Linked DNA regions of Astyanax mexicanus. The protein of the gene in region 1 purifies or fractionates together with the protein of each later gene. This does not show direct contact. Links are inferred from orthologs where the notes say so. Each region holds a gene or a part of one and is shown on either strand. Other genes may lie near its edges. The genes, in order: sirt6, usp48 and g3bp1.

Evidence for each region.
Region 2: the proteins of sirt6 (region 1) and usp48 purify together in Homo sapiens (affinity purification with mass spectrometry; 3 studies listed by BioGRID, with this or other methods). This does not show direct contact. The link is inferred for Astyanax mexicanus from reciprocal best matches to the Homo sapiens genes SIRT6 and USP48.
Region 3: the proteins of sirt6 (region 1) and g3bp1 purify together in Homo sapiens (affinity purification with mass spectrometry; 3 studies listed by BioGRID and IntAct, with this or other methods). This does not show direct contact. The link is inferred for Astyanax mexicanus from reciprocal best matches to the Homo sapiens genes SIRT6 and G3BP1.

What each region holds. Positions count from the first base shown.
Region 1 is NC_064411.1:46,344,364-46,351,536, forward strand, and holds the start of sirt6 (NAD-dependent protein deacetylase sirtuin-6), read left to right. Parts: upstream 1-4,134; 5' UTR 4,135-4,265; coding exon 4,266-4,331; intron 4,332-5,946; coding exon 5,947-6,074; intron 6,075-7,173. Other genes in the region: zgc:165603 (CUGBP Elav-like family member 5), read right to left, coding at 2,336-2,795. UniProt on the Homo sapiens protein: NAD-dependent protein deacetylase, deacylase and mono-ADP-ribosyltransferase that plays an essential role in DNA damage repair, telomere maintenance, metabolic homeostasis, inflammation, tumorigenesis and aging.
Region 2 is NC_064431.1:28,429,246-28,436,729, forward strand, and holds the start of usp48 (ubiquitin carboxyl-terminal hydrolase 48), read left to right. Parts: upstream 1-4,439; 5' UTR 4,440-4,560; intron 4,561-4,705; exon of another isoform or gene 4,706-4,811; intron 4,812-4,979; exon of another isoform or gene 4,980-5,046; intron 5,047-5,853; 5' UTR 5,854-5,854; coding exon 5,855-5,988; intron 5,989-6,481; coding exon 6,482-6,602; intron 6,603-7,394; coding exon 7,395-7,484. Other genes in the region: ldlrad2 (low-density lipoprotein receptor class A domain-containing protein 2), read right to left, coding at 1,690-1,786.
Region 3 is NC_064417.1:39,196,610-39,204,458, reverse strand, and holds the start of g3bp1 (ras GTPase-activating protein-binding protein 1), read left to right. Parts: upstream 1-4,775; 5' UTR 4,776-4,905; intron 4,906-6,847; 5' UTR 6,848-6,869; coding exon 6,870-6,964; intron 6,965-7,061; coding exon 7,062-7,143; intron 7,144-7,230; coding exon 7,231-7,404; intron 7,405-7,608; coding exon 7,609-7,699; intron 7,700-7,788; coding exon 7,789-7,849. UniProt on the Homo sapiens protein: Protein involved in various processes, such as stress granule formation and innate immunity. Plays an essential role in stress granule formation.

The DNA.
Region 1 (7,173 bases):
AATGGAACTATTTTAACTCGTGTAGTGTTTATAAACAAGCAGATCATATTTTCTCTTCCCCTTTAACTGAAAATCTTTTAATAAACAGCGATAATGGAACTGTAGTATAATTGCAATAATACACTCGAGGTTCGTGCTATAACGTGTAATATTGGCACTGCTGTTCTGACCTACGGCACTTGGCCTGTGGCCAATATTACACAATATAGTACTCCCTCTCCTGTACTATTGTTTAAATATAGCAGGTCAATATTTACCAGCATTTTGCAGCCCTAATATCAGCCCTGATATGTATCTTGTATCATAATCAATCTTGTTGTTGGTTTCATACAAAATATACAGTACCTATTCTGAGGATATCATGGATGTTCTAGCATTTCTCAGCACATTTGGAAAAATATACGTTGGGGTGTCATTAACAGAGCTTTCCACTGATAAATATCAGTTTTGATGGTTTTTATGTGCATTTCTTTGTGTATATATAATATTTCTGCCATGACGCAGAGGAAACATGTTGCAATTGGTGTCCATAGCTGACTGTATGTTACAGATGCTGCAGACAGAGTTTAGGCTGGAAAACACTGGAGTACTCCTTTAAAATGAGTGATTATGTAACAAGCATGTGCCTTCAGAGCATGTAATGGAATGGATGTGTTTCCTCCATATAGATAGAGCTCATTGCTACTTCTGTGCTGAGTATAAAAAGCAAAATACAAGACAAATAAATACAACAGGTTACAAGTGCTGTATGGACTGATGTATTGTTCATTTCATAATCCTGTGTCATTCTTGTACACACACACACATAGACACACACAGAGACACATCTCAAATAACAGCGTCATGCTGATACACCCTCGTTTTTTTGTTACTACAGACCAAAAATATTTAAAATAAAAATTATGCTTGAAAAATATGTTTTTATGTCAGAATATAAAACAAAAACCTACAAAAATGCTCGAATTGAACATCGTTTATTCGCTATTTCTTAAAAAAAGAAGAACACAGCAAAAATGCATGAGCGCCCATGCCCATGCACGCGCGCGCGCACGCACGCTCGATGCAACAGTCCTCCATCCTATATAGAAATATGAAGAAGACTGGGGGGTTGGGGGGTTTGGGAGGGAGGGTGATGTGTGGAGGGTGGAGGGGGGCTCCTAAATCATATGCATTATGTGCGCGCGGGGCTGCCCTACTTCCGCGAGCGAGCGAGCGAGCGAGCGCGCGCGCGCGCGCGCACAAACGCACACGCGCGCTCCCACACGCGAACGCACACCGTGCAAAATGTGCGTGAGGAGTGGGAGTGACCGCGAGCGTGCACGAGCGCAGCCACCACTATCAGTCAGTGTGTTAGTTACAGATCGTGACTCGTGACTCTCTGCCTGCTTTAAAAACAAACGTAACAAACACAAACAAAGAACAAAAAAATGGATTCTTAATATGAATTGTCTTTTGATCGACAGTGCATCGAATATTTATTTGGTCAAAAATGGCAAAAAAAAAAAACACAATCGTGACATGATCAAATCGGGAATATAAATATTAAATATAAAATAAATAAGTCATGTTGTGCTCTGTTTGTGTGTTAATGATGACAAAAAATGTAAAAGTTTTTTTCTTTTTTTAATTGTAGTTTTGTAACTGCACATTTATGCTATTTATTTTGTGCAAAAATGAATCAAAACCTGTAAAAAAAAACATGTTCAGTATTTGATATTTGATAAACTAGTCAATTTCAGCCATGTTTTATTTTGTTTTAAAGCATCACTATTTTTTGCATATTAATAAAAAACAAAAAAGAAATTGAAGAGTAATGGTAAACTTTTGTGATTAAAAGATTTTTGGCCACAAAAGAAATAAGAAAATAAAAATGTAAAACAACAATAGAAACACAATGACTGTATAAAAGCTGTAAAAGTGAATTTATTAAAAAAAAAGGAAAAAGACATGTACCTGATCAAGTGTCTGTTTTCGTGTCTAATCATGGCTAATAGGTTAATGACATAAAATGACATAAATGATTTCATTTCGTAACATTCCTACAGTAATATGTATTCATTACTGTATAAGTGTGGATCGGTGTGTAAGTGTGTAAGCGTGCACGAGCGAGGAGAAATTTAGGGATCAACAAAGATCAAAAGAGAGAATGAGAGAGAGAGGGACGGAGCAACAGTCCGTTTGGCTAATCGTTTACGCACGAGCCTTGTGCATTTGGTATAATGATTGCAAATTTCTCAAATCACTTAAAAAACATTTAGAAAAAAACAAAGATTCACACAAAATACACAGATAAAAAACCACCACCACACCCCCTATAAGCATCCTTATCATTTACCTTTGTGCATGCCGGTGTAGCGGTCCTTCAGCACGGTGAGCTCGTGGATTTTGCCAAACTGCTCAAACAGGGGCTTGAGGTCCTTCTCCTCGAGGTTGCGCGGGATTTGTCCTATGAAGAGCTTTATGGCGTCCTGGTCTTTCATGGTGCCGCCGTCCGCGTGTATGGACACGGCCTCGGAGCCGCTCATGGGTTTGGCGAACGTGATCTGCGCGTACTGGGGCTGCTGCGCGAGGACGAGCGCTGGCGGCTGGCTCGGTGCTGCCCCCGGTCCGCTGAGGAGCGCGCTGGCGTGGGTAGGCTGGGGCTGGATTTGGGGCTGGTGGTGGTGGTGGGGTGGAGGAGGCTGATGCTGATGGTGGTGGAGGTGGTGGTGCTGAAGCTGCTGATGCTGATGATGCTGAAGCTGCTGCTGATGCTGATGCTGCCTTCTCGCTTCAGTCTGGGTGAATCTGGCCATTCTGAGCGCGAGCGGCGCGGTGAGGAGCAGGCAGGCGGGATGATAATAATAACAACATACACACGCAGGCGCGCGCGCGTGCGCTTACACGCACACACTCATGCACACGCGCACACACACACCCGGGCGGGCACCCTCGCGCGCACGCACACATACACATACACGTATAATACGCAGGCGCAAACGAGCGCGTGCGCGCGCGCAAGGCAAGGGGAAGAAAAGCAAAAAAGAAAGAGCACAGCTGGAATAAAAATAAATAAATAAATAAATACTTAAATAAATAACAGAACGTGGGGGCTCACTTTCTGTTCTAGACACATGTCACGCGCATGGCCCGTACCTGATGGAGGAGAGAGGAGTAGTGTGTGTGTGTGTGTGTGTGTATTGGGTTTGTAGTACATGAGATAAAAGAGATACCAGAAAAAAATAAAGATGCTCAAGTATAGAGCTCTCGCGCCCCCTGCAGGTCAACGCGTGCTCGCGCGCTCACACACACCCCAAAAACCGTAGATTAATGCTAAGTCATATGCTCCAATATAAAAACCACTTTCACTACTTTGCGTTATAATTCATTATACTGGAAATTGTAAAACTTCAGTAAATTAGCAATAAAAAATTACAAATAGGACCACACATCATAATTAAATGAATTTAGTCAAGTTTCTGTGTTTTTCAAACAAAGGTAAATAAATACACTGTGGGATTGTTGTATTTGTTGTGCACTAAATTGTACATAAACATAAACAAATATGTATATAAAAAATAAACAATACGCACAAAACTTTCCTCAGAACTGTTTTTTTAAGAAATGTAGTATTTTTTTGATTGTTAACTATTCTAAGCCTTTTTATGACATATTCTATTTAATGTAAGTACATTCCTTAGAATGCTTTAGTTTCCCAAAAGATACAAATAATGCTCTCATCACAGTAATTAATTAACACAGAGAAACATTAATAAATGTTATGAATAATCTTAAAATGTGTTTCTTTTACTTACATGCACTAAATATTCTGCAATATTATTTGCTGCATTATATTATTTTATGCTATATTATTTTTTTGCCACATTATGATTACACTGTTATACTCTTATACTATATGAATATGATATTACTATACCCTGAAATATCGTGATATTATTTTAGAGCCATATCGCCCACCCCTACTATCTATCTATCTATCTATCTATCTATCTATCTATCTATCTATCTATCTATCTATCTATCTATCTATCTATCTATCTATCTATCTTTTTGTTGTATGGAGTCGGTGTTCCGCACGTGTGACGTTGTTTCACACGAACTGCACAGTAGTGCACATGTTTTGTATGACGTAGTGTGGAGAAACAGCACGACTGGAGCCCAATAGAGTCCGGCTGCAGAGAAAAGTCCGCGGGATTTTAAATCTAAGGGCGATTTTTCTGCGATTCACCCGCTTTTTAAGCAGGCCAGCAGTCTCAGCGCTCAGCATGTCTGTTAACTACGCCGCGGGGTTATCTCCGTATGCGGATAAAGGAATCTGCGGGCTGCCTGAGGTAAATAACGCTAACGGTAGCTAAAGCCGCCGCCGCTGCTGCTGCTGCACTGTTTACTGCTTAGCTAAGCTAACTAGCCTACCTTGGTTAGCTAGTTTAGCTAAGCTTTGTTGTACCGGTGTGTGAAGGTTCTTGTCAGACACTTCGTTGAAAAATGACATTTACTAAATAATTATTATGTTTATTACTGTTTTTTATGTAACGTTACTAGCTACAGTAAAGCTTTGTTTTTAAATGAAGGCTAGCTTAGCCTACATAGCTAACTAGTGACTAACGTTAAATAAAGTCAGGTAGCTTTACCTGAGATAGTTGACGTTAAACTAAGAGCTGCATTCGTTGATGCTAGTAAGCTAAGCTAGGTTAGCTAACAAGTTAGCAAGAAGGTTTAGTAGAAAACACTAACGTTACAGCATGTAAGCTTGGCATAAGCATACCCTGCTTGTTAAGCAGTCTGTATAAAACAAGATAAGTTAATGTATTTTGCATTTAAAGAGCCCATATAACAGAAAACCCGACCATAATAAGAGTCTCTGTTCATTTGCCGGTAACGTTAGTTGCCAAAAGGTAGTTCTAATAAAATATGGCAGCTATACTGAACCCAAAAGAGCCCATGGTGGTGTAGTTGTGTGTCACAGACCCTTTAACATATGTGTATGTAAAATATACTAATTACAGCGCTTTATCCTTTATTTTAAATCATGAAGTTTCTGAGTGACATATGCTAAACATCCTGAGAATTACTTTTTATTATAGAACAGTGTGTGAATGTGTGTTTGTTCACCTCACCTTATTTCCAGAGTGTAGGTGTGCCATGGTGAAGTTATCCTGTGGTCAGGCTGTTCTGCAGTCAGTCGTATTTTCGAATGCTTTTATTTCCAGTTTTACGCTAATGTTTATGTTTGACACTTCCTGCTGTACTTTAGGACATCAATTTTTTTATATATATAAATGTAATAATAAAAACTGTTTTCCCTTTTTTTAATTATCAAATATTAATACAGTAGTAGATGAATACATGCAGAGCTTTGTGCAACAAGTGATATTCCCTGAAGACAAGGTATTTGTTCAGGACCATCCAAACATAGCCAGATATATATCCAGAAAGACAAACATTTCCTTAATGGCATCAGCTTACTTTTACTGTTAAGACAGTCGGACTGTGTTTTGGTCCTTTAGCTAAAATGTAAATTAGTTTGTGGGATTTAAAGCTGAAGAAGTGTTTCAGAAGTGTTCACAGCTGTAAACACTTGGATAAAATAATATCTGTAATATCCAGGTAACGTTAAATATTTAGATTTGGCAATTGTATAAAAAAAAAATCCTGAATAAATAAAACTTAAACAGAGTTGACATTCTGGCTCTTTCTATGAATCCATACTGTGAAGAATAGAAATTGTTTGTATTCCACAAATACAGTTAACATAATTAACTACGCTTTCTTTGTAATTAGATATGCAGTTGGCCAGTGATATTTTTTTTTTACAGTTGAAAACACCATTGAGCAGATTGTTCATTTGCTAATAGAAAAGACCAAATGCAGAAATAAGCAGTACGTCATAGAGCCACAGTATCTCCTGATGATCGGCCACATTTAAATACTTTCTCTCTTTTGCAGGAGTTTGATAGCGCAGAGGATTTGAAAGCTAAAGTGGAGACGTTGGCGCAGCTGATCAGAGATTCTCAGTACATGGTGGTGCACTCCGGAGCAGGAATCAGCACTTCTGCAGGGATTCCTGATTTCAGGTAACAGTCAGATTCACACTCCTTTTCCTCCACATGCAGTTAGATCAGAAGTTAGAAAGTTTCAAAGAACGTAACTTGCTGCTTTGATTTTTTTGTTAGTATGTTATCCTTTGGTAAATAAAGGTTCCCAATATAGGGTCCAGTTTAAATATGTTTTTACAGTACAGGATGTTATTTTTGATATTTTGACATTTAAAAAAAAATACTCAATACACCTCCAGGCAGTAGTGGTTTGCTAAAGTATTCATACCCCTTGAACATTTTTACCTTTTGTCACCTTAAAACCATGAACTATATTATAGTGAGATTTTAAGTGATAGACCTACACAAAGCAGTGAAACGAAAATGATGCATGGTTTTCGAAATTTTAATCAAAAAGAAATTTGACATGGTCTAAATGCAATGTGCTGTGTATTAGGGGTTGGCGATATGGCTCTAAAATAATATCACGATATATCAGGGTATTTTTGCGATAACGATATACTTGGCGATATAGGAAAACATAAATAATTCATTCATTTCAGGAATATAGTATAATAGTATAACAGTATAATCATAATGTGGCAAAATATATAATATAGCATAAAATAATATAATGCAGCAAAAAATATTGCAGAATATTTAGTGCATGCATATAAACTGCAAACTAAAACAATTATACAATAAATACACCTAAAGCTTCACAGTAAATAATAGACTACTTTTAAGACAGAACAGCCCTATTATCATGATATGGATTTTTAATATCATGATATTTCTGTGTCACGATATATTGTATACAATATAATATTGCCCACCCCTACTGTGTATGGAGAAAAAAATAACAGCTTCATTCTGTGGGGATACTTTTCTTCAGCAGTGACAGGGAAGCTGGTCAGAGTTAATGGGAAGATGAATGGAGTTAAGTACAGGGCAATCCGGTGAGAAAACCTGTTGGAGGCTGCAAAAGACTTGAGACCGGGAAGGAGATTCACCTTTAGACAAGACAATGACCCTTAACATACAACCATAGCTACACTGGGATGATTTAAATACAAATATTCATGTGTTAGAATGGCCCCGCCAATGTCCTGCTTTGTGTTGTGGTCCATCTCTTAAT
Region 2 (7,484 bases), on another chromosome or scaffold:
CAGTCCCTCAATAAGCATCAATAAGCCCCGGACACGCTGGGTCACCAACTGTCCTTCATTGAGCACTAATATTTTGGCGATGTTCTGACCCTGTGTCTCAGTCATCTAGATATCAAAAAAATAAAAACTGTCTCTGGATGAAATGGTTCAGATTCATGCTGCAAATACGTATGCTGCCAATATGCTGCAATATCATCTTCAACAACTGACCATTCACTTGCTGCCTAATTTATATCTCCAGCTCTTGAAAGAAGCCACAGGAACCACAGCATCAATGATATTTACTTCACCTCTCAGTGATTCTAATGTTATGGCTGTTTAGGGCAACATAAGTAACATTACATCCACAGGTTTCAGGTGGATTTAGTCACAAGGTAAACATATTTAGATATATGTTTAAATATACACTTTTTAAAATAAATTTCAAAGGACAAATATTTTCATTTTTTTGGATAACGAGTTTGTCTTTATAAGGGTAATATATTAAAATATAAAGTATTCTTCAAATATGTTTAATGTTTTGAGTAATTTAAATGCAGTAAATTAATACAACATTATAATATATAGATTTGTAACTGTATGTATTGTAGTTAGTTGCAAATGATTCTAAATTGTTTGCATGGAATAAAAAAAACTATTTAGATGATATCATTGATTTATTTAAAAATTTGAAAGATATGTAGATATGAAAACATTCCTTTAGACTTAATTTTAGATGTAAATCTCCTGTATAATATACAATATAATATAATATAATATAATAATATGTTAAAAAAAATCTTAAAATAAAAAAATACTTGTTTTATTTTACAAATGAAAAATGTTAAAATGTGAAGGTTTACTTTAAAAATATTATTTTTTTGTTCAGATGTTAATATCATAGAGAAAGAAACAAACCATGCTAAATAATTTGGTAGAACAAAAGCATATTAAGCTAATAAACCGTGTATATTTAGCTAAAAAAAATTGCTATATTAATAATTTCGTACCACAGAAGATTGTTAAGGTCATAAATAAAATCGACTGTACATTTGTTATTTACATTCCCAATATCAAGGATTTTGTACCACATAAAAAGGTGTAACGTTACATTTTACTTTATAAATTTGCAATATACATATTTTTAGACACTTTATTTTGATATTATTAAACTAAAACCACCAGAATTAACGGTACATTCTCTATATAAATTCACAATATTAATTATTTTGTGAGTGCATATATTATATAAAAATATATTTGTGTGCTATTTTAGCTTCTTAAGCTAATTACAGCTAATCACAGTGGCGGGAAAAAAATAAACTCTGAATTAAAGTTGCGCTGCTGTTAAATGTACCATAATAAGTATTTAATTATTATTTTTTATTTAAAGATATTTATGTAGCCTAAATCTAGATATGTGGGTTTTAATTATTATTAAAAAGCCACAATTAACAATTAACTAGGGGTTTTAGAATCAGACTAAACAAAAACTCTCTTTTTGTAAACTTTAACTAATACATGTGGGTGATCCAGGTCCGGTTAATTTAAAATCCATCCCAGGATTTACTTCCAACCGCCGCAAAGGCTCTGCTGCAGCAGAACTGCCCGTGCGTGTTGGAACGAAATTCCGGAACGGATTTATACTTTAGCCAACACCAATAAAGAAATCCTTGATAAATCTCCAAAACTGAGCTTCCATCTTCATACCTGTCTCGATGGCGTGAGCCCTCAGTGCCATTAGGCTGAAAATAAGCAACCAGCCGGGCAGGAGATGAACCCGCGGCCGCTCCGGCTCCCTGCTCATCCCGCTCCTCTGAAGTTCAGCTAAGACTCCAGAACAGGGTCCACGCTCTCCTTCAGCTCCTCCTGAGAACACACTGCTCCATGCTAAACCTCTAAAACTGACCGCATTTCAGTTTATACGGGAGAACTGAGCCAAAAGTGGAGGGGTGAGGTCTTCAGAGGAGGGGCAGCAGAGACCCTGGATGACTCCATTCATTGCCACCATCCTCCATCCTCTTGTTTAAGTGTGTGTGTGTGTGTGTGTGTGTGTGTGAGATCCTGGTTAATAATTTCAAACAACATAGGCCTACCTCTTTTTTTAACCACTAATAATACATATTATCCCAATAAAGCCCATGTGCATATGTGTCACAATTGAAGGATGTGAAAAGTATTCACATGCATTACTCTGTAGGTAGAAGTATATGTACTAAGGTTTAAAATACTTCTTTAAATGCTGAGGTACCAACTCTTAAGCTTTTTTTTTAAAGTGTAAAAGTACTGGTTTCAAAACTATTTTAAAGTATTAAAGTAAATGAAATGTAAGGACAAAAGCTTAGGCAGCACCACAGAGTCCTATAGTGCACTACCCTTCCTCATTAAAACATATTTTCTAAAAAGCCACAATGACTATAATGTTATATTAAAATGTTAATGTTAATAAAGTTGGGATGCACTAGACTACCAAGTGCTTCAGCTGCATATATGTTCATTGAAAATGAATGCATTTTAATACAATGCAAATATATTCAAGTTATATCTTAGTTGTGACATTTCCAGAGCTCGAGTTCTCTTGAGTCTCTCTGCACGGGTCATGTTCATACTAAGCTATATACGTCTGCTATGCTCTTGCTGGAGTGTGGGGGGCGTGACTTGATGTGCAGGTGTGATGGATCACAGTATAAACCAATAGGGAGTCGGAATGGTATATGTTTATACTTCTCTACATCCAACCACAATCAGATTCACTCTATCTGGATGGAGAGATTTATCTGGATAGGGTTTTTTTTTTAATGATAAGAGTCCGGAAATTAAACACAAACCAAAATTAAATAGGAGTAATTAGGCTATTTTTAAAATGTAATGAGTAGATAGTTCAGATAATTATGCAAAAAAATGTAAGGAGTAGAAGTAAGTCTGTACGTTTCTGTAGGAATTCCCCTGTAAGTATATAGAGCTGTGTAAATGTGACTAAGAACTCTTGACTCTCTGCTGACTCACAGGCATTTAACTGACCCCTCATAACCTAAGTTTTAAAGGTAAGTTAAGAGCCTTGTTAAAAGGCTTTATTTTATAGCTGCTTCTTTATTTGTAATTTTGACACTTTCAGCTTGGGGACCTTATCAGCTTAATGAAAACCACTGGGAATATTTGCTTCAACAAATTAATATAAAGACTGCAAGTATAATCGGTTTAAATACAGTGCACTTCAACTGCTTCTGAATTGTTTATTTTAAATTCATTGTGATAATGCATCTTTCTAAATATTTTTGGACAAAACTGAATGTATGTATTTGTATATATATATATATATATATATGTGAACTCACTGAAAAGTTACTTTATTTCAGTAATTCAGTAACTAATTTATTATATAGATACATTACACAAAGTGATCTATTTTAAGTGTTTCTTTCTTTTATTGTGTTGATTATGGCTTACAGCCAATGAAAACCTAAAAGTCAGTATGTCAGAAAATCAGAATATTAAAGACTGTGTATATCTGGACAGAGCATCGTCTCTCAAAAGTGAAGCCACCACAGGTCGGGCGCCCCCTGCTGTTCGGTTTCAGAAAGCTGTGTAACCCCACCCATCCCCATAGGTTTCAATGGCAAAACAGACAACTTTCAATCACGTTTTATTCCAACATACTGCACTTCTACATCCAATATTTAAATGTAACAGCTACTGTAACCTCTGCTTATATTGTCAAATTTTTATATCCCCACAGAATTCGTTTTTTAAAACTTTATTCAGCTCTATTCAAAAAAGGTGTGGTTATTGTAAAAGGGCTGGTTATGGGTAGGACCAATAACAGACCGTCAGCTCCGGTCTGCTCCGCTCTGCAGCCTGAGGCAGCCCTCAGGGGCGGGGTTATTTAAATGAGTAGGCTGTCTCTCCACAGTCTTTCTCCCTCCTCTGGTCTCTACTGCGCAGACTCGGGTTTCAGGATCGCCAACATGGCGGAAGATTTTGGCTTCATTTTCAATGAATGAATGGGAACGGAGACACGACGTCCATCTTTTTTTACAGTCTCTGTATAAGACCAATTGGTACTTTTGGCACTGTGGGCAGTGTGTCAAGTCCTGCTGGAAAAACAAATTTTCAGTGATATTTAACTTTTTTGAGATGCACTAGCAACTATGTACTTTTTTTAGTAATCAAATCTAATTAATCTATCAATAATACTATAATACTATTAACTATATTATTTGCAATATCTGAAATAATGTAAAACAAAATGGTTATTTAGCAAGAAAAGCACTTTTATTACAACATTAGAAAAATTGTTTCATAAATATCAAATCAGTTTGGAGCTCAGTAGCAAAAGCAGAACGAGACTCCCTACCTAGGCTGCCTAGTTAGGTGACGTGTACGCGAATCGGAACGCACCCGCGTCATCGGGCGTCATCGCGTACGCCTCCAACAAGTTTGAAAGTGAGGAAGGTAAAAAAATATATAATTTAAAAACAGAGCGAAGGGCGCTAAATACAAACACCCCCCGAATAAAATGTGAACAGTTCCGTTATTAAAGCAGCTCCACTAACACTGGCTTCACCACAAAAACAAGCGCAGGTTCGGAATCGCTTTTTTATTTTACTGCGGCTCTGCTAGCTTAGCTAGTTTAGCAGCGCAGCAGCTATTTTGTTGGCTTTTTAAGCTAAGCTAAGCTAGGCTAGGCTAGGCTAAGCTAAGCTACTGCGCAGCACAATATAGCTCGATACAGTACTGGGACTGGGTAGCTTTAGCTGATGCTAACGCTAGAATAGCAGGCGAATAAACAGATAAATACATGAGCTGGGATAGTACTGCTGTTTTTTCATTAGGTAGGTAATAAAGTTGTAGGTTGGCTTGTTAATTAGCTAGTTAGTTATAAGTTTTGACTGAATAAATTATTAAACAAATATCAGCATCTTTCTGTCGCAGCTATGCTATGCTAAGCTAACTAAGCCAATGGAGTTGATCTGATAAGGTAGATGGTCTGTTTACCGGCTGGCTGTAGCTGTAGCTAATGGAGTTACAGCTACAGTAGTTAACTGGCTAATGCATCAGCATCACAGAGTTCAGTTCACTATGTTTCTCTCTGTTTTTCTGTGTTTCTCTGCGTTTTTTGTCTTTCTGTTTCACTCTTTCTGTTTCTCTGTCTCTTTATGCGTGTTTCTGTTTCTCTGTGTTTTTCTGTTTCCCTGTGTTTTTATGTTTCCCTGTGTTTCACCCTGTTTCTCTGTGTTTCTCTCTTCTCTGTTTTATTTTCTGCCTTTCTTTTTCTCTCTGTTTTCTGTGTTTCTATTCGCCTGTGTTTCTCTGCATTTTACTGTTCCTCACTGTTTCTCTGCGTTTTTTGTTTCTCTGTTTCTGTTATTCTCTGTGTTTCTCTGTTTCTGTTATTCTCTGTGTTTCTCTCAAAGTTTTTCTGTTTCTTTGCACTTGTCAGTATTTCTATGTATTTCTCTGTGTTTCTCTGTTTTAGTGCTTTTTCTCTGTGTTACTCTGCATTTCTCTCAGTGTTTTTCTCTGTTTCTCTGCATTTTTCTGTTTCTCCATGCTTCTCTTTGCTTTTCTGTGTTTCTATGTGTTTCACTTGTTTCTCCCGGTTTCTCTGCGTTTCTTACTGCTTCTCTGCATTTCTCTGTTTCTCTTCTGTTTTTTGTGTTTCTTTAAGTTTCTGTGTTACTCTGCATTTCTCTCAGTGTTTTTGTCTGCGTTTCTCTGTGTTTCTTTCAGTATTTTTCTCTGCGTTTTTTTATTGTTTCTCTTTGCTTTTCATGGTTTCTGTGCGAATTATTTGCTAGCTCTCTAATGGTCTGTTCATGCTCTGTTTAGGTAAATAAAACTCACTCTCCTCTTGTTTTGTTTATTTCTTTGTAGGATGGCTCCTCGTATACAGCTGGAAAAAGCTGCCTGGAGATGGGTTGATTCAGTGAGACCAGAGGACATCACACAGGAACATATCGACTTAGCTTACAGGATCGCTGTATCCGCATGTAAAAGGGGAACATGCCGGTGGGTTAAGTTGCTGATTTTACTTATCAGGGTATAGGTTATAGGTGTAGGTATAGGTTATTTACTCATTAAAATCACAGAGAGCTGTCAGCAGACCCCGTTGACAAAAGTAACCTACAAGTACTAGTCGGAAGACCTACCCTTCTTCTAATTCAATGTGTTTTCTTACTTTTTATGATTTTCTACATTTTTCATTTAATATTAAACATATTAAAGCTATGAAGGAATGCATGTAAAATTATAAATTATTATTTATATTAGTCTAAGTGTTCTGCTGTCGTTCCCAGTCTCTTCCACTGTGTTATAATATCACTGACCATTGGCTGTGAAATATTTAGTCGTGAGGATATTTCATGACTGAACTGTTACCGTAATAGGATGCAGCACCTGTGCAACAAGTTCACTGAGCTCTTGAGAGCGACCCATTTTTTCACTAATGTTTTTAGAAGAAGGCGCTATAATAGTGCAATTTTGATTCTGTTCTGACACACAGGAGGAACTGCAAAGGGAACCCCAACTGTTTAGTTGGAATCGGGGAACATTTGTGGTTGGGGGAAATTGATGAAAATACCTTCCACAACATTGATGACCCAAACTCTGAGCGAAGAGACAAGGTATGACCACAAATATATAGACGTGTATAAAGGAATTTCTCTTGTTATAGGTGTGGAACATGGGCATCATTTTAAGGCTTTCAGTATGCAGCAAATATTTAGCAAACAAAATTATTTGCCAAAAAAAAATGCCAAAAATTCTCTTTCTGTCAATGCAGCAAACATGTCGGCAGTATTGACCCTTTTTTTAAGGTTAAGAAAGATTGAGAAAAGTGGCAAACTGAATGCAAAACCTTGCAAAAGTGTTTCATTTTAATCTGTTCCATTTTTGACCAAAAATATGCGTTGAAAATGGAATAAAATTAATACAGAAAAGATATCCTATACAAACTGTATGTCAAAGTGTATACTGTACATTGATATATTATAGAATGCACATTTGCTAGTGTTTTGGTTTAGTCTTTAAAAAAAAATCCTGCTCTTGATTGACCCTAAAAGTCTTTTAGTGGCCTTGAATACTAATGATGTCTTTATAAACACAGTCTGGAAGTTTTGTAAGGAGTTAAGGGGGATTCCGGTTAGTCACATTTACAGAAGGGGGTGGAATTGAATGGGTGTCGTGCCTCAGCTTTTGTGCTTAAACTCTTTGTGTGTCTTTGTGAACGTCACTGGTTCAGCAGTGCTTTACTGGAACTCTGCTTGGGGAAAATTAATAGGCGGTGTGTCATGGCAGCTTAGAGCTTTTTTACACCTTACATTAACATGTATCTCATGTCTCATTGTACTGTGCCCATCTTTATATGTTTTAGACGATACAGCATTAATTATATATTTTTTTTGCTCTGCATTTAGAACACTTTTGTGGGCCTGACAAATCTTGGTGCCACGTGTTATGTAAACACCTTCCTCCAGGTGTGGTTCCACAACCTGGAGCTGCGCAGG
Region 3 (7,849 bases), on another chromosome or scaffold:
GCATTATAGGGCATAGCTGTGCTTATACACCTTAAGCATTGCATAACCCATTGTTTCTTAATCCTGCTTCAGGGAACCTGCTGTACTGCACAGTTTCAGCTGTTCCTTGTCTGAGTGAACCTGATACACCTCATCAAATGATTATCAGACCTTTTAGAGCTGGATCAGGTGTAGAGAGGCAGGGTAGAGATAAGGCTGTGCAGGACTGTGGGTTTCTAGGAGAGGATTTAGAAACACTGGGATAGTAAAAGCTTGCTTTTACACTCAACAAGCACTTTACTATGAACACTTGTACACCTACTCATTCGTGCAGCTGATCTTATCTAATTAATCATTTAGCAGCAGTAGAATAATGTAAATTAATGCATGCAAATAAAAGGCAGCAGGTAATTTTCATATCAGGGTCATAATTTTACTACTGTGTTTTTAATGTCTCATATAAAAAAAACGAGTTATTAAGAATTCTTTTAACTATTTATATTTCTTTGAATATTATATTATTAAATTGACTATCATATCAGATTTTTCACAACACAGAAATCCTATAATGCCAGCATAATTACTTTTATTTTTACTTTTTTATTTTCTGCATGCATGCTTCAATGAAAGGGTGAAAACATTTTGAAAATCCCAGCATTTGCTAAAAATATTTGAATAACCGTGATATACCATGTCAGGGTGGACATTTTTATATTTACCATAGCTAAACATGGAGACAGTATAAAAAAATATTAGGTGAAATTAGTATTAATAATTACTGACTATGCAGCAGGGTCTTCAATCCCTTGAAAAGAAAACAGTGTGAAGGTTGTTGTTGTCACTGATATTAAAGGTTGTTTTTTTAATGACAGTGTGCACAGGGAATTATTGGGATATGTTTAAATAGCTTGAATTTTTTTATATAAAAATAGTTCAATGAGTCATTAAAACACTCAGATTATATTAAAAAACATAAATATAATAACGTTTATTATTAAATCTGTTATATAACCCCTTAAAACAATTATTCTTCTAACTTAACCAAGAACACCCCCACATCAAAGAAAACTGTAGTACTCCTCCAGCACTAGGATTGTGAAGACTAGCACATGCCTCCTCCGATACAAGTGAAGTCAGCCACTGTCTATTTTTCAGCTGCCACTGATGCAGCATTACCAGGTAGTCGGTGCACTCAGAGGAAAGCGCAGCGACCCGGCTCTGATAAATCAGCTCGCAGATGCCTGTGCCAACTAACATTACTCTTGGAGAGATGTGTGAAGAGAGCACGCTGTCTAACCACCCACAGAGAGCAAGGCCAATTGTACTCTCTCAGACTCCGGCTGCTGATGGCAAGCAGCATGACCCGAGATTCAAACTGCCAATCCTCAGATCATAGTGACAGCGCCTAAGTTCGCTAAACCACCCAGAGCCATCCAAAAAAGTAGCTTAAAGTGAAGTTTAACATTCATAACATTCAAAGCATGGTAGCTGGGGTCAGATGTGCAGGTTTGAGTACTTGTAGAAATGCTGATCTCTTGGGATTTTCTACACAACAGTATCTTAGAGTTACTTAGAAAAGTATATTAAAGTCTAAACATCCTGTGATTAGCAGTTCTTCAGATATAAAGGCCCTGCTGATAAGAGAGGTCTGTGAAGTTGCCAGACTGGTTCTGTATTACAAAAGGCTATTGTATCCCAAACAACTACTTATCCGGTGGTCTCCTGAGTATACAACATGACCAGATCCAACCTACCAGATCTAAATACAGTGAAACCCACTATTGAATGGGATTGAGCCTAGTTACGTATTGTTTGTAAATGTGAAAAGGATCTCAAGAGGAACAGTGACGTGTGTACCCTGTGTTATAGATGGTGCAGTGTCACATGTAAGTTTGTTGTTATGTTGTTATGTCTCAGTATGCTCTTTGCAACAGGATTTCATTCATTACCTAATCACACCTTGAGAACAGGAGATTTACATTATGATGTTGCTCCTTAGAAATCTGGACCAGAATCTTCAAGTGTTTCCAGCATCTTGTGGAATCCATATCACGAAGAACAAAAAAAAAACAGCCTACTCAGTATTACTATAGTCAGGCTACTGTTTAAATAATGATCGTGAATTCTCGCAATGCTCATCATGGTGTTTATCAAAACATAAAATCCTGCCCTTCAACACAAAGACCCAATCAATTTGCTGGTTAAGCTGTGAGCAGGGGAGGGTTGGGTCATCATTCGCCCTCAGTGTGGAGACCTGAGCAAGGGCAGCAACCATGATAAATGTTTTTTTTTTTATGATATATTGAGCCAAACACTACAAATTGTTTATGATTTGCTACACATATTTTATCAGTGGTGTAAAAAATGTAAAAAAAAAAAAAGGGTTGGTTTCATATGACTGGAGATAACTGCCTGCCTGAGTGATCAGGATTGGCTCATGTACTTTCCTATAGTGTTCAAAATAAGTGACTAAATATAGTAAAACATTCACTTTGTGTGTATTACTTAAACATGACCTACAGATAAATAATTCTAATAGAAAAGAATCCTACACAAGTGTTGTAATAAATATTAGGACTATAATATTGGGTAGTAGTGCTGCCTTTAGGTCTTTCTCTGAAAATCTTACCTATAATCTATAAAAATGCACTTTATTTTTTTGCAGTGTTAATGCTGAATAACATATAGTAAATATAGAAGAAGCTACTGGTGATTTTCTACCACTGTTCCATGAAGAATGTGCTGGCATCTCGGTGTGGGGTGGAAACTGCTCAGCGGCAGACAAGAGAGCTCTTCAGAGGATCATCACCACAGCACAAAAGATCATTGGTTGCTCACTGTCCTCCTTAGAGGATCTTTTCAGCTCTCGCTGCATCAGCAAAGTAGCCGACATACTGAAAGCCCTATCCCATCCTTGACATCACCTGTTTGTATTTATAAATACCTGTAGGTATTCTCTGTATCTCTGTATTCTAGTTTCTTCATTCTTTATAATGTTACATTATTTTATTTGTTCTATTTTTATTTTCATCTGGTATGTATGAATACCAATGGGTTTGCTATTTAATTCTGTTGTACTTTGTGCAATGACAGTAAAGGAATATATTTGTATATTTATATATTATTAGGGGTAAAAATAAAGGCAATATATTTTTGGCCTTATTTAAGTGTGGAGATAATATTTTGAGTTTTCATTCATTTTACTTTCTAATTAAAAATTAATATATATATTAATGTATTTAATAATAACTGAAAAGGTCATATATATTATAATATATTACTTTTAATATTATATTCTCTGATAATATGTTGAATCTGTGTTCATTTCTGTATCTTGGACACAAATTAAATAAGATTCTATATTTCACCATCACACAATCTAAACCAGGGGTCACCAACCTTTTTGAACCTGAGAGCTACTTCTTGGGTACCAATTAATGCGAAGGGCTACCAGTTTGATACACACTCGTGAAATTACAAATTTTCTCAATTTACCTTTAATTATATGTTATTATTAATAATTAATGACATTCATCTATGTGAAGACACAGATATCAATAGGCAACACTATTATTATAAATCTCTGCAAGTGTTTACATTTTATATTATATTTTAATATAATATTACATATTATATTACATTATATTGTATAATAATATATAAACTATAGGCTATCTCTAAGCTAATATTAATGTAATATAATCTAAAATTACATCAATGCAACTGTGATTTAAAAAAAAAAAGAATAGCAACAAAAATGCTATTTTTAGACCAGGCCTGCGGGCTACTCATAAGGTCCTTGCGGGCTACCTGGTGCCCGCGGGCACCATGTTGGTGACCCCTGATCTAAACTAATCCAAAAACAGATAAAAACATATAACATTATTTAAGCAAGTTAAACAGTATCTTATTGCGTTTACATTTTAGTATGTTGTTTATTCTCAAATCTTGTATATGATAATATAATACTGATTTTTAGATTATAGTACTGTATAGCATACAGTGTACCTATTCTACAGCTCTGTAAGAGACTCTGTAAGAGACCCTTTAAAAAAACTTTAAAACCTCTGGAATATAATCAAGAGGAAGATGGATGATCACAAGCCATCAAACCAAGCTGAACTGCTTGAATTTTTGCACCAGGAATGGCATAAAGTTATTCAAAAGCAATGTGTAAGACTGGTGGAGGAGAACATGCCAAAATGTATAAAAACTGTGATTAAAAACCATTTTAATGGTTATTTTCTTTGCATTATTTGAGGCCTGAAAGCTCTGCATTTTTTTGTTATTTCAGCCATTTTCCCATTTTCTGCAAATACATGCTCTAAATGACAATACTTTTATTTGAAATTTGAGAGAAAGGTTGCCCGTAGTTTGAAAAATAAAACAACAATGTTCATTATACTCAAACATATACCTATAAATAGGAAAATTAGAAAAACTGATTCAGAAACTGAAGTGGTCTTTTAATTTTTTTCAGAGGTGTATTTTATCTTATGTTTAATAACATTTTCTTTTACAGTACATTATACATATTTGTACTGTAAAATTATATCGATTTAATCAATCAATCGAGCAACCATTCAGCAGTCAGGTTGTCAAACCCCACCTTCAGGATTAGCCTATTAAACCTGACCATACCCGAACACCACGGTGTGTGGCTGGTGTGTGGTAAATTAGCGAGCTCTGTTTTGATTGGGTGATTGTGGGGCGCCTCTCTTCGCTCGGCTGCTGATTGGTTGGATGGGCACCGTGCTGGGAGTCTATTGGCCTGGGTTAATCGCATGCCTCTCCGCCGCAGCCGCAGTTGAAGCGAATTTGAAACCGGCTAAGCAAGCGCTGCCATTCTCACTCCACCAGGCGCAGGAGGCGATTACATAAAGCCGCTGGACATTTCTACACTGAAACTAGAGCCTCCCCCTCCTGGTGAGCGGCCTGAATATTACGATTTACAAATTACAACAATACTGTTTTATCGTGCGGGAAAAGGTTTTTGTTTGGTCGAGCGGGTTCGATAGTTAGTTAAATAGTTTATTTAGCTTGTTAGCTTAGCGGCTTGGGTATAATGGGGGCTTATGGACTGTAGCTAGGTTACATAGCTAACGCTAACGTTACCCTCCCTCTCTTAATGATTTCATTTTAACTTTGTCACGTTACTCTGAGAAAATACGATATATTTGAGTATAATGACATTAGCTAGCGTTGGCTGTGGGTAGAGTGTAGCAGAATTAGTCAGTTAGCTCGCTCGCTAGCTAACTAGCTAGTTAGCTTGTATGCTAAGATAAGGCTATTGTAATTCAATCAGGTATCCTATCAGATAGCTTAGCTAAAGCTAGCTAACGTAGCTAGCGAGGTTTCCGGCTAGCCGGGTGAGTGTGAATAACGCTAACAAGACTATTAGAAGTGACTTAAATGTGTATCTTAAGTTAGTGGGTTGATTATTGTGGTATTTTAATTATTCTGACTGTTAAAATCAATAATACTTTTTTAGTAATTGTACGTGCCTGGTGTTCTAGGGCACAGCGCCCGGTTAGCTAACCACAGCTATCTTGGCTAATCTGGAATAATGGTGAGCACGTGCTTATTTCTGAGTATGCCTTTATAGGTATAGCTTTAAAAAATTGAGTCAAATTGGTCGTCAGTTTCCACTGTGTTTATAAAGCTCTGGAGGGATGACCATATACGTCTCATTTTTCACAGATAGCTAGCTAGTTAACCTAACTCAGCTAGGCAGGTAACGTTAGCTTTAACAAAGCCTGGCTGGCTCAAACTGGCAACGAGGCATCACTGAGCGTGGCTTAATCACATGGGCCTGGTTAGCAAGCGAGCTAGCAGCGTCTCACGTTCGCATCTGAGGCTAGCTAACGGGGGCTGAAAGGGTGTGCCTTCCGCTGCTACTGCTTGAAACCAGCTTTACTGATAGAAACGTGCTTGGAAACAAACGGCTAATTATTTGATCTCCGGGAAATCCTAGTACCGCAGTCTTGATAAGCTCAGCTAACCGAGGTTTTGTTTATACAGGTAATAAAACAGCTAGTAAATTAATAAAATTATTCTATATTATTCCCTCACCGGAGGATTAATATATAAATTCGGAATATTGCAGCAGCACATGTGACATGACAGAAAATAAAGCAAAATACACACATTTAAAAGTCTATGTTCAAAAAATATATATGAATCTAGAAAATTTACGATTTCTGTAAGTGTGATTTCCTAGTATAAAATATTGATATTCTTCAAATATGAGATTTACGATTTAGGTTTGTATTTCTTACATAACTTGATTGTTTTATTTAGATATTTTTTAAAGATTTAAGATCTTGAATATCCTATTTTGAAAATTGTTTCAAAACAGTAATTCAACAATCAAATTAATTCGATTAACCCCCCAGCCCTAACAGTGTGTATGTGTTGTGGCAAGCAGTGGACAGTGCAATAAGTGATTTTATTGCACATAGTGATGGTAAGCAGATCATGTTACACATGCTGAATTGAGTTATTGCACATAGTAGAACAGTAATAAGTAAAACAGTTTATTGCACATTATCAGTAGTAGAAGTAAGTGGTAGACTGAGCAATGCCTCATTCACTATATATCACTTGCTGTGTAGTGAATTAATTTAGGAAACAAACAAACGTCTGCTCAAAGGACCTCGGACAAAACACCACTCTGATCCATTGTGGGTATTTGATGGTGAATTACATACAGAATAAAATGTACTTTGTGGGATTTCAAACAGCACTACAAAATGTTTGGTGCACTTTTCTTGTAATAGGGAGCCATTTTCAATATTTTCTTTTCTTGGTGTGTGTTCTGGGTATCTTAGATACTGGAGTGGTAATATTTTCTCTTAATCTCTTTCAGTTGAAACCAGTTGACCAAAGAAATGGTGATGGAGAAGCCAAGTGCCCAGCTTGTCGGGCGAGAGTTTGTCCGACAGTACTACACTCTTCTGAACCAGGCTCCTGACTACCTGCACAGGTGATTTTACGTGCTTTAACTTTTTATTTTATGTACAGATGCACAGTTTGTTTTAGTGTTCAAAGAAAATGGAATGCTTATTTGTCTTAATCCTTAGGTTTTATGGCAAAAACTCTTCTTATGTGCACGGAGGACTGGATACCAATGGGAAGCCAGCTGAGGCAGTGTATGGACAGTCTGTAAGTGAAAGAAAATGTGACTGTTCTTTCTCAAATTCAAAGTTTACATTTCTGTATGATTGACTTATTTGTTCCATTGCTAAACAGGAGATTCACAAAAAAGTGATGGCACTGAGCTTCCGTGACTGCCACACTAAAATCAGGCACGTCGATGCCCATGCAACCCTGAATGAGGGCGTGGTGGTGCAGGTGATGGGAGAACTGTCCAACAACATGCAGCCTATGAGGAAATTCATGCAAACCTTTGTGTTGGCCCCTGAGGTATGTACATCTGGCTAGTATTTCAGATTGTCAGCAATTATTTCCAAAAATAGTACAGTTACAGTTGTTTGCAAGTCCACACTGTAGAACAGATTGTGGCCAAAATAGAAAAGTTAAGCTTTATTTTAATATTTTTGGCCATTATGAATATGTAACGGTAGTTGCTGGATTGAATATTCTGATTAATTTGTGATTCTATTTCAGGGTACTGTCGCAAACAAGTTTTACGTACACAATGACATTTTCCGCTATCAAGATGAGGTCTTTGGGGACTCGGACTCTGAACCTCCTGAGGGTGAGTCACTGGAACATTATTTAAAGGGTCTTTAACGTAGGCCAGCTCAGTGCATCACAGATGGCATTGTTTATCTTTGGACTTTACAGAGTCGGAGGAGGAAGTGGAGGACCTGGAGGAGAGGGTGAACTCACCTGAGGTGCCACAGGA